2 linked regions of the Arabidopsis thaliana genome follow. The protein of the gene in region 1 purifies or fractionates together with the protein of each later gene. This does not show direct contact. Each region holds a gene or a part of one and is shown in the gene's direction. Other genes may lie near its edges.

What was found.
Region 2: the proteins of AT4G15770 (region 1) and AT3G26480 fractionate together in Arabidopsis thaliana (co-fractionation; one large-scale study listed by BioGRID). This does not show direct contact.

Annotation. Positions count from the first base shown.
Region 1 is NC_003075.7:8,974,949-8,981,702, forward strand, and holds AT4G15770 (RNA binding protein), read left to right. Parts: upstream 1-2,946; 5' UTR 2,947-3,111; coding exon 3,112-3,675; 3' UTR 3,676-3,996; downstream 3,997-6,754. Other genes in the region: AT4G15765 (FAD/NAD(P)-binding oxidoreductase family protein), read right to left, coding at 835-1,085, 1,185-1,413, 1,667-1,865, 2,025-2,090, 2,193-2,263.
Region 2 is NC_003074.8:9,684,961-9,692,788, reverse strand, and holds AT3G26480 (Transducin family protein / WD-40 repeat family protein), read left to right. Parts: upstream 1-1,822; 5' UTR 1,823-1,961; coding exon 1,962-2,081; intron 2,082-2,170; coding exon 2,171-2,347; intron 2,348-2,437; coding exon 2,438-2,584; intron 2,585-2,657; coding exon 2,658-3,003; intron 3,004-3,128; coding exon 3,129-3,247; intron 3,248-3,327; coding exon 3,328-3,405; intron 3,406-3,527; coding exon 3,528-3,692; intron 3,693-3,772; coding exon 3,773-3,817; intron 3,818-3,920; coding exon 3,921-4,090; intron 4,091-4,175; coding exon 4,176-4,254; intron 4,255-4,343; coding exon 4,344-4,420; intron 4,421-4,500; coding exon 4,501-4,630; intron 4,631-4,717; coding exon 4,718-4,847; intron 4,848-4,929; coding exon 4,930-5,096; coding exon of another isoform or gene 5,097-5,120; intron 5,121-5,146; exon of another isoform or gene 5,147-5,171; coding exon 5,172-5,516; downstream 5,517-7,828. Other genes in the region: AT3G26470 (Powdery mildew resistance protein, RPW8 domain-containing protein), read right to left, coding at 5,889-6,146, 6,238-6,645.

The DNA of each region.
Region 1 (6,754 bases):
CCTTTGCAATTCTGGTTTTCTCTAGATAAGTTTTCTATCACCTCCATTGATTCAGCTTCTACATTTTGAGTGGGCTACTGGATAATTTGACATTTCTCTCTACATTTTCTTGGTTCTGTTTATGTTATAATGCAGACTTTAAGTCTTTTATCAACTAGGGTGGGGTTTTTGTAACACAAATGATATGGACTTCTCTTCCTTCATCAAAATATACGAAAAATGTATTTGAATAATTATTGATTATTTTTGGTCCAAAAAACTTGAATCCAGAATTATTAATTGGATTAAAATGTTTTTGAGAATATTTTTTTGCAGATGATACCGCCCATAATTTTCTTAAATAAGTTTTTGATTGGACTTCTTTTGTCTTTCACAACTCACAAGTGAGAAAGACTAATATCATAGTTCTTTTAATAATCGAACAAAAATTATCAGAAGCGAACAAACAGGAAACATTCGCAAGAACAATGAGTAACCAACCTCATGATACAATCATCTCACGAAGCACACAACTCTCGCAATTTAGACAGTTCGTACATAAGATAAATTTATAGACTGCCACAATCATATCGAGTATGACCAATTTGATCACGAAACAGAATCATCAACATAACTACAAGCAATAGCTTCCTAACCGGCGAAGAAGCTGCTATTAAACTACCGGTAAGATAAGTTTGTGTCGAAAGCCCCACGAGTCTACCTCTTCTTTCCCTAATGTACTCATCAATTGCTTCTTCTATTTGCATCCTTGAAGAGAAGGAAGATACATTAATTATACCGTCTTGACCTAAATTTAACTTCCTCCACAAGCATCTAGCCAAAACAACACCGTCCTCAAGCGCAGCCGAACATCCTTGTCCTAAGAATGGGCCCATTAGGTGCATACTGTCTCCGGCCAACTGTCACGGTGCCACGTCGGAATTTTCCAGACAGAACATCCCAAGGAGCACGGTACCTTAAACGGTTGATATACAAAGAGTCCATATCACAATTCTTCACCATCTCTTTCCACTCTTCTGAGAATTCGCGGACTGATGCTAGTGCCAATCTTGCGATATCCTCTTGATTTTTTAAGAAGTTTGAGTCTATTTATAAAACAAATTATAAATACGTTAGTGCGTTATATGAAAACAATAGAAGTCTATGTATAGTATGAAATGTAGCATGACCGGGTTATTAATTACCTTGGGGACAATTTCGCAAAACAACAAACCAAAAGACGAGTTTGTGAGTTATAGGAAGTCGTCCGCTTACGACGTTGTCCATCTTGATTCTTATAAACTCTTGTCGGAATCCATGGTCGTCCGGGTAATTTGTGAACCCTCTGATGGCCCGCGAACCGAGGTCTTTAGTCGGGTTTAATCCTAGAAATCTAGAGACTACAGAATTTGACCCATCGCAGCCAATCAAAACCTAAATTAAAAGAAAAGTATATTATCAAAATATATAAGACCCATGCATTTCATGCTAAACATGTTGCTTTCAGTGAAAAACAAACAAAACACAAACCATTAAAACCGATCACGACCCATAAATGTCACTGTCGGCTAATATAAAGTATATACTAAAAAAATTCCACTACGGCATCACCTCAATAATTGATCAATAAATATATCTACTGTTGTTAAAACGTGCCTTTGCTTTGATAGCTTCTCCCGTTTTTAACGTGCACAATCGGAAACGATTTTGTTTCGTCGAGCTTAACCGACAAAATATGGCAACCAAGCCGGAGAGTGCCAAGAGGAAGAGCATGAGCCAAAGCTCGAACCAAGTCGTTCCTTAGTACACCTCTTACTTCTCCATAGGATGCTGGTCCAACCGATTCTCTTCGTTTAATACCTTTCTCGATCAAAACATCTCTTATCCTGTTTTAGTACCATACCGGAAATCATTATAACTAGATAAGGTTAGTTAAAATATAAATATTTATATACTTACTGATGAATTGGGAGAGACTTAAGACGAAGCTAGCTTATCGGCGACACCAAGTTGTTGAAGAGCAAGCCAGCCGTTAGTCTGAATACCAAAATGCTGCTCCTTCCGATCTTACAGACTCTGATCTCTCCAACACAACGCTCTTTATGCCCTTCCTTTATAATCATATTTGTATGTTTAGTTAGTCAATAGTTCATGTATATGTTTTCTAATTTAAATTACCTTATAATTGAGAAAATGAGGAGATTATAGTGAACCTGTGAAGAGCAAGGGAAGTTGCAAGACCAGCAATGCCTCCTCCCACGATTACTATGTCCAATTCTTCCATTCTTCTATATTTGTATTTCCTCCAAATTTTATGATCGTTATGTCCTGCAATGTCGTGGACTTATATGTGGGGGTTGAAGCCACATGGCAATATGGCATGTCGTGGTTGTACCTTGACCCGCGTATTTTTCGTTATCTATACATATTCATTCACAGCGATTTTTATTGGTATTTGTCGATTCATATATCAATTAAACTGTGTATCACACAGATCGTTATATGAAACCAATTCTGAAGAGAGAAAAAAAAGAAAAGAAAAATTTAAGCCTTCTTGTGTTAGAATTACTAATTTTAATAATTTATTTAATATTTTTACTGTATTAGTGATTAAATGTATAATTTACTTAATCTTAGAAGTATATATATATATTTAAAACAATTATTTTCTTACACGTTATACAATATTTGTAATTAATTGTATTTATTTATATTAGAAATATATATACCTTTTTCTAAAATAATATATTTTTGTTTTGTCAATTGCCCTTATAATATTAGTAATTCATTGTATGATTTCCTTATAATATTTTTACACATGAAAAAATCTCTAACTAAACATCTTTTCAATAAACTACATGAACTATCAAATTTGTTATAACTTTCAGTTATCCTCCAAAGTCCAAATATTCAAAGTGAATTATTCATGGGTTGGATTTAACAAAAATAATAATTTCGAGGTTGAAATGACAATAGATATTTTTAAAACAAAGGACCAAAGTCGAAATAACAAAACTCATCGGCCGCATTAGGTTTGGTCCTAAATCCCTAAAACCCTAAAAAAACACAATCCCTCTTAGAAACAGAGAGCTTCTCTTCTTTCTCCATTATTCATCACTTTCTTCCCCGAAGATGCGTCCTTTAGACGAGACCGAGACAACCGTCGTCTTCGAGAAGCTCTTCAAATTCGTCGGCAACAACCTCAAGAAGATCGTCGAGAACCCATCAGACGAAGGACCCGAATCTACACCCGGCAGCTACTGCTTCCGCCTCCAGAAAAACAGAGTCTACTACGTCAGCGAAGCCCTCGTGAAGCGAGCCACAAACATCTCCAGGAAAAACCTAGTCTCCTTCGGAACCTGCATCGGGAAATACACTCACGCCGGTAGTTTCCATCTGACGATTATGTCACTCAATATCTTGGCGGCGAATGCTAAACACAAGGTATGGCTTAAACCCACTTCGGAGATGTCGTTTCTTTATGGGAACCATGTCTTGAAAGGTGGATTAGGGAGGATTACTGATAGTATTGTTCCTGGAGATGGTGTTGTTGTGTTCTCGATGTCTGATGTTCCGTTAGGGTTTGGGATTGCTGCGAAGAGTACACAGGATTGTAGGAAATTGGATCCTAATGGTATTGTTGTGCTTCATCAGGCTGATATTGGAGAGTATTTGAGGGGTGAAGATGACCTTTGAAAGTTTAAAGGTTTTGTCTTTGTTGTGTCTTAGTTTGATTCTGCTTGTTGCTTTGAGTTTTAAAGTATGTAGCTGTTACAAGTTTCGTGGAACTTGGTTCTGGATCTATGAAAGTCTCGATTTTTATAAATCTGTTTTTGAGGTGTTTTGTGAGACTCTTGAGTATGTAAAAGCTAAAAAATTTACATTCATATGCGAATTTTCAAATCTGTAACCTGATGATCAAGATTTGTATTGGAGACAGGTTGAGTTTCCTGATATTGCTTTGATTTTTATACTTAAAAGCTTCAAATTCTTCATCAAGCTTGAAACTTTGGAAATTTACATACATATGCTAATTTTCAAATCTGTAACCCTAATGATTCAGATATGTGTTGGAGACAGATTGATTATGCTGATTTTTGAGACAGATTGATTATGCTGATTTTTGAGACAGATTGATTATGCTGATTTTTCTTTGGTTTTATAGTCCAAAAGCTTCAAATTGTTTTCAAGCTTCAAACTTTGGCCTTTGAGTATTAAGGGTATGTGACTGTCACAAATTTTGTGGAACATGGTATTGTATCTATGAAAGTCTCAATTGTTCTCAAACAAGAGTATCGAGAAGCTACAATTGTAAGCTGATGAATCAGTTTTCTGTATGGAAACAGATTGCTTGCTTTGATTTAAAACTTCAAAACTTATTACTGGGCATATAGGTTGTGTACTGCTGCCAAATAATCTGGAGAAGAGATGTTTAAACCAATTAAGTTCTGAAATCTTTCTGAAACAGATTGCATAACTTTTTGGGAAAGATATTGAGGGTGTTCTTTGAATAAATATGTTGTACACTGAAAATTTCCCACATTAAGAGTAGGGGATTGATATTCATCATCTTTTCAAACGTAATCTTGTAAAGTTCAACTTCAACCCAAAGTCTTGGCCTTTGTACGTTTGTTCCTCACTTGGGAATTGGGATGCAAAGCTGTGTTGCAAAATGTTTAGAAATAATATTTACTGTTATATAGTTTTTCTGGTATCATTAGTCACAAAGCCCGTCTAGCTCAGTTGGTAGAGCGCAAGGCTCTTAACCTTGTGGTCGTGGGTTCGAGCCCCACGGTGGGCGCTTTGTTTTTGTTTTTTTAATCCAAATTTGATCATATTCTGATTTTAGTTTTGAGTACCTTGACTAGTGACTCTTGAGCATGTGTTTTATGCAAGTTTTAAGATATCCTCGCCTTTAATTACGCTACGTAGAATATGTGAATTAGTATGGTACACCCAAAGAAAGAACACAAATACTTTATATAATAATACAACATCCAAAGTCAAAACCTTACAATACATATGGTACCATTTTGTTCCCCTCTCTCTCTCTTTACTAATCTCTCTACTGAAGACTTTTGTCTCTGTTTGTCGCCTGTCTCCGCCAAAAGCTCTAAGTCTCTAACCATCACGTAGAGTAATTTGTTGTGTCTTCAATCCGTGCAATTAAATCCATGACAAACCGATATCCAGATTATGAGAACAAGTAGTAGCAAGATCCCAAGAACCACCAGTTTTATCTTCATGTTCTGGTACCACAATTTCCTCCTCACCTGTGTCCCTTGGTTTTCTTGTATTCCCGCGCCTTAAAGTATACAAATTAACCCTTACATTAAAATGGCTATCACAGAAAGTCTATGAATTTAATGTTTGGAGTCAAGTTTGCCTTTACCTGAGAGCGTAGATTCTCGGTCTTGTCAGTAAGAACTGTTAGATTTTCCCCTCTGTCGATTGCCTGAAAATGGATCAACAATATTGGAGGTGTATAAAGCACAGTGATTTTTGCAGACTTATCATTGTAAAAGGTAAAGCAAAGGAGAATGATTTGTTGCTTGTCTTAAGTGTGGAGAAAGACATAAGAGAGTCAAATGATGAGCATTACCTTGTCAATATTCTCCAACATTATACTTTTAACTTCTGAAACCTGAGCCTTGACTTTTATTAGTTTTTCAATCTCCTCTGCATGGTCAACAATATAATTCATGTGTTCCTTCATCACCGGCCTGCAATATTTTAATTTTACCATTACCTTGTATTCAATATATTATAGAACATTTTCCTCAAATATTGAAATGTTTTCTAAGTACCCGAACTCCTTGTTGAGACTTTTGGCGATAGCTGTACTTGCTTTTCCACCTCCATATCTCTTCTTGAAATCAGCTTTCACACGCTCCAGAAATGCGATCGAGATTTGCTTGCTAAGAGAATCTTTCGCCACAACACAATATGCTGAATAAGAAATTTCAAAGAGCCACCATATATAAGTGAAATGCAATCCAAACCATAACAAATTATTTTGAAACACATGTGTGTAGTTTCATCTCCAAACCATAACAAATACAACTACATACAGAAAGAAAGACACAAACATCTCCAATCCGCATCACGTAAAGGTATCACCAATAATAAGACGCGTAATGTATTCATCATAAAAACTAAACTACCAAACACTGAAAGAATTTTGAGACTGTTTAGTTACTAATTGAATCTCCCAAGAGAACAAACTCCACAAAAACATATCAAGATTCATGATTAGATAACACTTTACTTAATTTGTTGATGGAAAAAATTCTTTTTTGATTAGATATATGTGCTTAATTGGTATTTACAAAGTGGAAACCAAACAAAATCAGTAAAAAAGTTAAATCAATCTAAGCTCAAATCTCAATGGAACTAATACACAAAACACTGTTGTATCGCCAAGTAATGCGAATCCAATCTATGAAGATCCTGAAAATGCCTTAAGTTTCAGATGATGCATATCAGCTAACCCTGAGCTAGATCCATCAAAACCTTAATGGCTTCAAACTAAAAACATTGTTCGTTTCCAGAGAAGAAGATAGAGAGAGTGACAAACCGTAGCCATCTTCGACAAGGAAATTGAAGGTATGGTGATCGCAGTTGTAAGTGAACTTGCTGTTGCTGGAGGACGGAAGCTTCTGGAGACACTGAGCAGCAATAGACGGGAAATTGCCTGTGAATTCGGTATACTCGGCGAGGATCATAGTTCCTCTGGCGACGAAGCTATAGATAAACGATTCTTGACCCATTTTGA
Region 2 (7,828 bases), on another chromosome or scaffold:
GATCTTCGTTACAAACTAGGCGTCGATGTTCCACCTACGCCGAGTTTGCGGGGGGCTATTAGAGAGAATGCATCTTGTGTTGAGACAACAACTCGGATTGGTGAAGAGAAGAACCAGATCAGAGCTGTGATCGGACACGAAGCAGAGGAATCTGTAAAGGTAAATTCTTCAGATGACATTATCAAGAAGGTTCTGAGATTGGGCCAAATTGAGAATGCAGCAAACCTCAAGCCCAATAAACAACAGGCCCAAGCGCAGACCCTAAACAACTCTCAGCTCCAACGGTCATCTCCTGCAAAAGAAGACAAAACCAAAAGTACATCAAGATTGGATCAAAGGACAAAAACAAGGAGCTGTGCTGGAAAAGAAGGAGTGGTTTTACAAAACTGTTTTGACTGTCTAGGATCAATAGAGACCTGACATGTGTCAGTGAAAACCCTAGTGTCACTAAGATTATAATGCCTATGAAAGGAAACATGATGTAATCTTAAACCCTAAAGAGAATAATCAAGAGAAATGAAATTTATCTTCTTTATATTTAGCCTTTGAGCATCTTTACTTTCATTGGTTAAGAGAACACTGAAAGCAACAATTCATATGTATAAAAATCTGAAAAAATAATTCAACATTCTAATTCATTAAACGTAGGATTTACAAAAGTCCCACTTTGTCTCCCATTTTTAGTCATCGTTCATGATGGTTGTATGCGAATAGTTTGATGAACAACTATAATTATTACATTTAGTTTGTTTCCAACGAGCCATATGTCAATGTTTGTTACGCTACAATTTTTATTTTTCTTATTTCTTAAACTTTTTACTTTGGAATAAGTTGATATGTATATGAATCATCTACCATTTCTCGTTTTTTCACAATAAATCCTAAATTTTTTGAACATTTTGTCTATATATAACTTTTCCATGACATAAATTAACCTTAGATAATATTGTATCTAAAGGTATAAACTACCGTTCCAAGTCTGATTAAACTATTGACCCTAAACATTTTTAAAACTGTTAGATCCACAAGACGCACAACTAGTTGATTGCATAGTCTTTTGAAACAAGACAAACAAACACTATATCAAAACAATATCATCTTTCTAATTTTATTTTAGTTATGTCGCTATCTATATGAACGATTTTCCGATAAGCTAGTCATATGCAAAAGATTTATAAAAAAAGTAATATGTTGACGAGGAAAGTGATAGATTGATAAATTAAGAACATAAATGTTTTTGAAAAGAAATTATAGCTAAACTGTCATAAAATAAAATTATAAAATAGATTAACTTATATATAATAGAAGCAACTTCAGTTTTTTAAAACATTCATGGAATTAACGATGGATATCGAAGTTTATTGGTCAACCTAAAATCATACCCATACATTTTAGTATTTATTGGACGACCTCAAAAATCAAAGTCATTGTCGACCATTGTAATACAGTTAATGTCGCATACTATGCCTCTGAATCATCCATCCATATTTTGTTAAAACGAAGTGAGTTTGTTAACTACAAAATTTCCAATTATTGGACTATACATTATATTTTGTTTATCCACAGGGTTTTTCACATAAATTAAGAAAATACAAAATACTTAAGATCTTGAAAAATTATGTAAGTTATTTTCTTGCCGTCTCATTTTATTAAAGATAAAACAGAAAAAATAAACAAACAGGCCGAGGCCCAACAAGGTCAAGGCCTAGTCCAAGAAGCGAAACCCAAACATGGAGGAAGAGAATGAGAGGAGTCATCACAGAGCCAGGTGTTACGAAGAAAGTGAAACTACAAGTACAAGCATATAGTACTAAGTACTAGTCGCAATTTGGTCACAGACATAATTTCCTCGAAAACTGGGTACATTGTAATATTTCGTCGGAAAAACGTCGCAAAATCTAATTTTTAATCGCCGAGTAAGATGTTTGCGTCTTCTCAGAATCTCCGTGAGTTGAAGGAAAATGATTCGCGGCGGAAGAAACAACATTACTTCCGCTCCGGCGTTTTCGAAAGACGCAAAGAAGCTTCTTTTATGCACAGCCAACACCGTCTCTGTTTACAGCGTCGCCACTGGCTTAAAGGTTTTATCTCTCGACTCGAGCATCCTTCCTTTTAGGGTTTCCCTCTAATCTTCTTCTCTCATTAGCGTATGCGTGTGTGTGTTTTTAAGATTACTTCACTCGAGGATCATACAGCGCCTGTGACGTCTGTGATTGTTGATCCGTCTTCCGACGAAACCGTCAGTTACTGTTGGACTTCGTCGCTCGATGGGAAAATTCGGATTTGGGAGTTCTCTGCGCCGAAGCTTTTGAAGATATTTGATACCCACCTTCCAATTCACTCTCTGGTCTGTTAAAGTTCCATACTTTGCAGCTTATAAACAAAAATTTGATAACTTTCAATTGCCCTTTTCTAAGTGTCTGTTGGGACTTTGTAGGTGATGATTCCAGCTCAAGTGTCACATTCCGTGATTGCTTATGTTTCGGTTGAGGACTATTCAAGTGTGTCCAAAGATTTGTTTGGACAAATCCGGAGATATGATCTCACTCAAGACCCTCTTCATAGTGGAGACACTTTGAAAGAGGTCAGATTTGTGGATTAACCATTTTTCGATTAGCCTCATGTTTGATTCTATAATCATTTTTGTTAATGTGCAGATGGAAGAACCAAAACCTATTGTTTTAAGTCCCTCTGGAGAGTTTTTCGGCGTCTGTCATAACTGCAGTATACATATATGGAATGTGGCATCAGAGCACCTCATGCCAAAGGAGACGACATTACATCATACAGAGTTGATTACTGTTTTTGCTTTCCATCCCAATCAGAGAATATTAGCAGCCGGTGATGTAACAGGAAGAGTGTTAATTTGGAAGGATAATGGTATTGGAGAATTTACTTCAGTGAAAACTGAAGATGATACTGAATCTTGCACTACTTTCAACTGGCACAGCGCTGAAGTAACCGTCCTTAATTTCTCTTCAGATGGAGCACTTTTGTATTCTGGTGAGTCTGAGTTATTTTTTCATCATAGTGACTGTATCTCTGTGTGTTGATAAGGAATTCATGTTTCTTATATATATATATATTGAGTTCTTATGCTATATTTCCTTTGCTTGTGACTCTTTTAGGGGTAAAGGCAGGTGATTTTGTTGTTTGGGAGCTAGGTACAGGGAAGAAGCAACTTTTGCCAAAGATTGGATCTCCCTTGTTGTATTTCATCTTCTCTTCAGATTCAACTCTTTCTTCTGTAAGAGTTTTTCCGTTTACAACAACCGTAGAAAGCAAATGAAGTGTTTCATTAACTCTACTAAGATCAAGAATTTTCAGGTGATTTGTGCAGATAATCAAATTCATCTTCTTAAAATGCCTTCCATGGAGATATTGAGAACGATATCTGGAATCAAGGTTCGTTCTTACTATCATCCGAAATTTTTCCTTGTTATTGTTGGTTTAAGCATGCTCATATTGTATACCGTTTCTGTTGGAGTTAACTTCACATGCATATTGTGTTCTTTACTATGTAATAGCCTCCGACACCAGAGCGTCACGGGTTTATATGCTACGTCAAAACGCGGGATATATGCCTCACCAGAACTGTATCCATTGATCGTTCTTCCGGTATAGCTGCTTTCTGCACAGCGAATCATCGTGTTCAACTCTACAACCTTTTAAGTGACCATGACATTTCAGAGGTTAGCTTCCCAAAAGGCTTATTGAGTTTTGTATCTGATAGTTGTATGATTTTACTATTTAACAAACCTAACATATGCAGGTTCAAATTTGCGATCATCATCCAGACGATGATGATCAAGTCCGGGTTAGTACATTTTGTTTCTTCTCTGTAAGATGACATAGTTGTTACTAGTAAAAGATCCGCTCTCTTTCTGTTTTGTAATAATTTGAAGAATTATGGAAAATAGGTTCTCGTGACTGCGGTTGCTCTCTCTCGGAATGGCTCAGTAATGACTACAGCTGAGGCCAGATTTGCTGCAAGCAATTTCAGTGAAGGCATAGTTTCTCTCAAGTTTTGGGTATTTGTACCGGACAGCAAAACTTTCAGCTTATCGACAGTCATAAATCAACCTCACAGGTTTTTACTTCAATGTTCTTATAAACTTTTAAACTCCTTGATTCTCATCGTGAGTGTAACTTTTGATCCTTCTGTATTCTCACAGGGAAGCTGCAATTACAGCCATTGCCCTTAACCCCGCCCGTTCCATGGCTGTTAGTATATCTTCTGCTGGGGACTTCAAGGTAGGATTACAGAGTAGTGAAAAATGGATCATTTCCTTGGAATATCGTTTGACCTTTTGTGTTACTGATATGACTTTATGTCTGTCAAGATTTGGGTTTGCAGTAGCGACAAGAATCTGACACCTGAGGACTCAAACTGGATTTGTCATGGAGTTGGCTCTTATAAGTAAAAGATTAGGAACCTTTTAACATCTCTCATTACTTAGTCGTTGTGATGTCAAATGAAATTGATGTAATATTTTTCAGGAGAACGCCAATAACAGCTGCTGTTTTTTCCGGGGATGGTTCTTGTCTGGCTCTTGCGGCTAAAACAGTTATTACGATCTGGCACCCGTTAAAGAACGAACTCCTGTATGTAGTTGGAAAGGCAAATGCGGTAAGACTTGTATAACACACAAAAGCAATTCCATGTTCATTAGTTACAGTCATTGTTGAAATCTTAAATGATATGTAAATGTTTCAGCCAATTATGGAACTCTCATTCACTGGAGGAGGCTTCCTTATTGCTGCATCCCATGGTTCCACACCGCACTTATCTGTCTGGGATCTGATGACGTTCTGCTTATCATGGTCATATAGATTATACATAGAAGGTTTATTATTTATCTTTTTGATCATGAAATCTTGATTTTTTTGGTTGTCTAAGTATATTTCATTTTTCCTGTTTATTTGCAGCCATTGCTACTGAAGTGGACTCACCATACTTTGCAGTTTTAACATGGCTTCCAGAATCTGATAGGTTGGTAAAATCTAACGAACAGATATTCCGCGGGAAAGATGGTGCTATCCTCTTGTTTGATGGGTCAGGCCCTAAACCAGTAGCTATTTGGACTGTAATGAAGGTATATACTCTAAGGAAGGATTAATCAAAGTTCTCTCATTGCCGTTAAGAGACTTGATTACAATGTTTATTGCAGGCCAGAGGAGGAACACTTTCATTTGTGGAAGATGGTAAAAAGTCTCAGCCGCTTCTCGCGTATGTAAACAGGAGCCATGAATATGTTCTATTTGATCCTTATAGCGATGAAAAACTCGAGACTAGCGCCATAGATTATGAAGTTTTTCTTGCAGCAATAAGCAAAAAGAAGAAGAGATCTAGGAAGAAAGCATTGATGTCAGAGAAACCTTGGGAAACAATGTTTTGTGGATCAACACTCAATTTCCCGCCTTTCCCCGACTTGTGCGCTTCGTTCTTCAGTTCCCGGATGCAGAAAGAGGTGTGTGAGAGAGCAGATAGACAACCTGAAAGACATAGCTCTTGAGAGACCCCATATTTTGGAACCCAACTTGGATAACATCATTTTGTTGGTAGCCTTTTTGTTAGAGATACAATCTGATTCCTTCAGCTACTAAAAGGGTTGTTTTGATATTAAAAGGGCTTCATTCATCATGTAGAACCTGCTGATTTGAGGTGTATAAACCAATTCTCTCTTTAATACGTAAAAAAGTAAGGTCAATTGTAACGTATGGAAAAAGAAGAAGCTAAAACAGAGTAGTGGACGATAAATTATATTTAAAATTGTGACTGAAACATAATTTAACAAATTGAAAAACATAAATCGAAAGCAATTTGTGTTTTAAAGATCGTAGTCCGCAAGGTTGAGTGGGTTGCAAGTATCCTAAGTCGTATGTGGTCAAGCAGGAGGATTCATGGAGGCTGCAGGAGGAGACATCATCGGTAGGAGGGTCTCGGGGTCAAAGCCGTTGGCTCGTAGTAAGACATCTTGCGCTCGCTTCATCGCAAGCATGTTGTTGATGACGTTGTTGGAGAAGGTGCGGAATTCAGCCTCCAAAATGGTGACCCGCATATCCATGTCTAGGTTAGGCTGGATGTGCTGGTACTGAATTGAGCCAAGTCCGTCGTAGTCACACCCTTTGGTTGATGTGACGTGCTGCAAAAGAAACGAGTATTATAGAGATGGCCTTCAAACTTGGTGAACAAGAAATCACAAGGGAGAGAGAAGAAAACAAAGATAGATAGACCTCATGGGAACGTTCATCAGAATTGGCCCGGAGAAGATGAAGATCGGCAAGGATGTGTGTCAAAATGGAAGCCCTAAAGAAATCAGAGAGGGTCTTCTCTAGCTTCTCCATTTTCTTCATGAGATATAACTGTCGAATCATATTCCAACGATTGCATGTTAAGAATTTGTCCATGAGTTTCTTGCCCTTCTCTAGAGACTCAAAGAGTATACGGATTTGAGCCTGGCGGTGAGCAGGCAGCTCAACTCCACTGTACTGGATCTCTTTGATCGTCGGTTGAATGTTCTCGATCAAGGTGCTGAGGTTGTCGGCTGTGTTTTTGTACCGGCCTGCTCTCGCAGATATCAGAAAGAGCTGCTTCAAAAGCTCCGTCGCTATCTCACCGGCGAAATAATCAGTGACGGCCATTTAGTAAAGGATATGTTAAAGAGAAAAAGTGTGGAGATAGAGAGCTGAGAGACAAGGGGATATGAACTAATTAATCTGTATAGAGGAGGAATTCACCGGTGGAAGTTTCCTAGCAACTCGAAGTGACAAGTGACATCTCCATATAATATTTGTTCAAGAGTTCAATGAAGAAGAAACAAGGAAATTAATGAGAAGGTAGACGTATATTTTATTTTGGCATATTGTCTTGTTTACAAATTTTTAATTAAGGTTTCTTAGAGTCAAATTACTGACATATACACTGACGTAATATGATCATATTAAATCGTTTGATTGGTGTATGTACATATTACTGCTGAGTTTGTGGTTACAAGCAAATCTTATAGATTCCTTTTTATTTTTTACTTTTTTTCTTTAAAACTTAAGCAAAAACATAAACATGACCATATTGTTATAGATTCTAAAAAGTTCAAAAACTTAAGCAAAATTAACGTCAATGAATTACAATACCAGTTGTATACTATTAAATATAAACAAATTATAAAACGACGAAAACTTATCATATATTTTTCAATCCTGCTCTTTAAGGCAATATCAGAATATTGGATAATAAGCTTAAAAAGCAACGTTAAAAAAAAATGAGAGAGATATTTACATTTTTTGTAGTGTGTGTGATGGTACAAAATACAAAAAAAGAATTGTGCTTTTATAGAATAAAAGGTTAATATTTTATTTTACCTTTTGTTTTTTTTATTTATTACAAAATTATGGACTGCCGTTGGACCACTCACATTAACGTATGAGAAAGAACTGTACGCAGTTAATCTACTTTTATTACTAAAAAAGCAATAAAACAAAAATTGTATGCAGTTAGCCGCCTGATTTTTATTTTTTTGCTTATTAAAAATTAAAAACAGTTTATCTGTCACACATTTTGGACTACCAAAAATCTGACTTACCATTCAAAACTTTTAATATCGATCCATAAAATGCAAAAATAAATTAATCTTTTCGTTCTACCTCAAATCTCTAAATTAATAAAAATATGTGATTTTAATTTATACATATTTTCATGTATAAGTATAACTTCCACACGCAAGCACAGTCACACTATCAAATCTATGGATTCAGGTTACTTATGACACGACGATTATATATTAATATTTATCAATCACTATACAAATATGACACAACATCACAATTC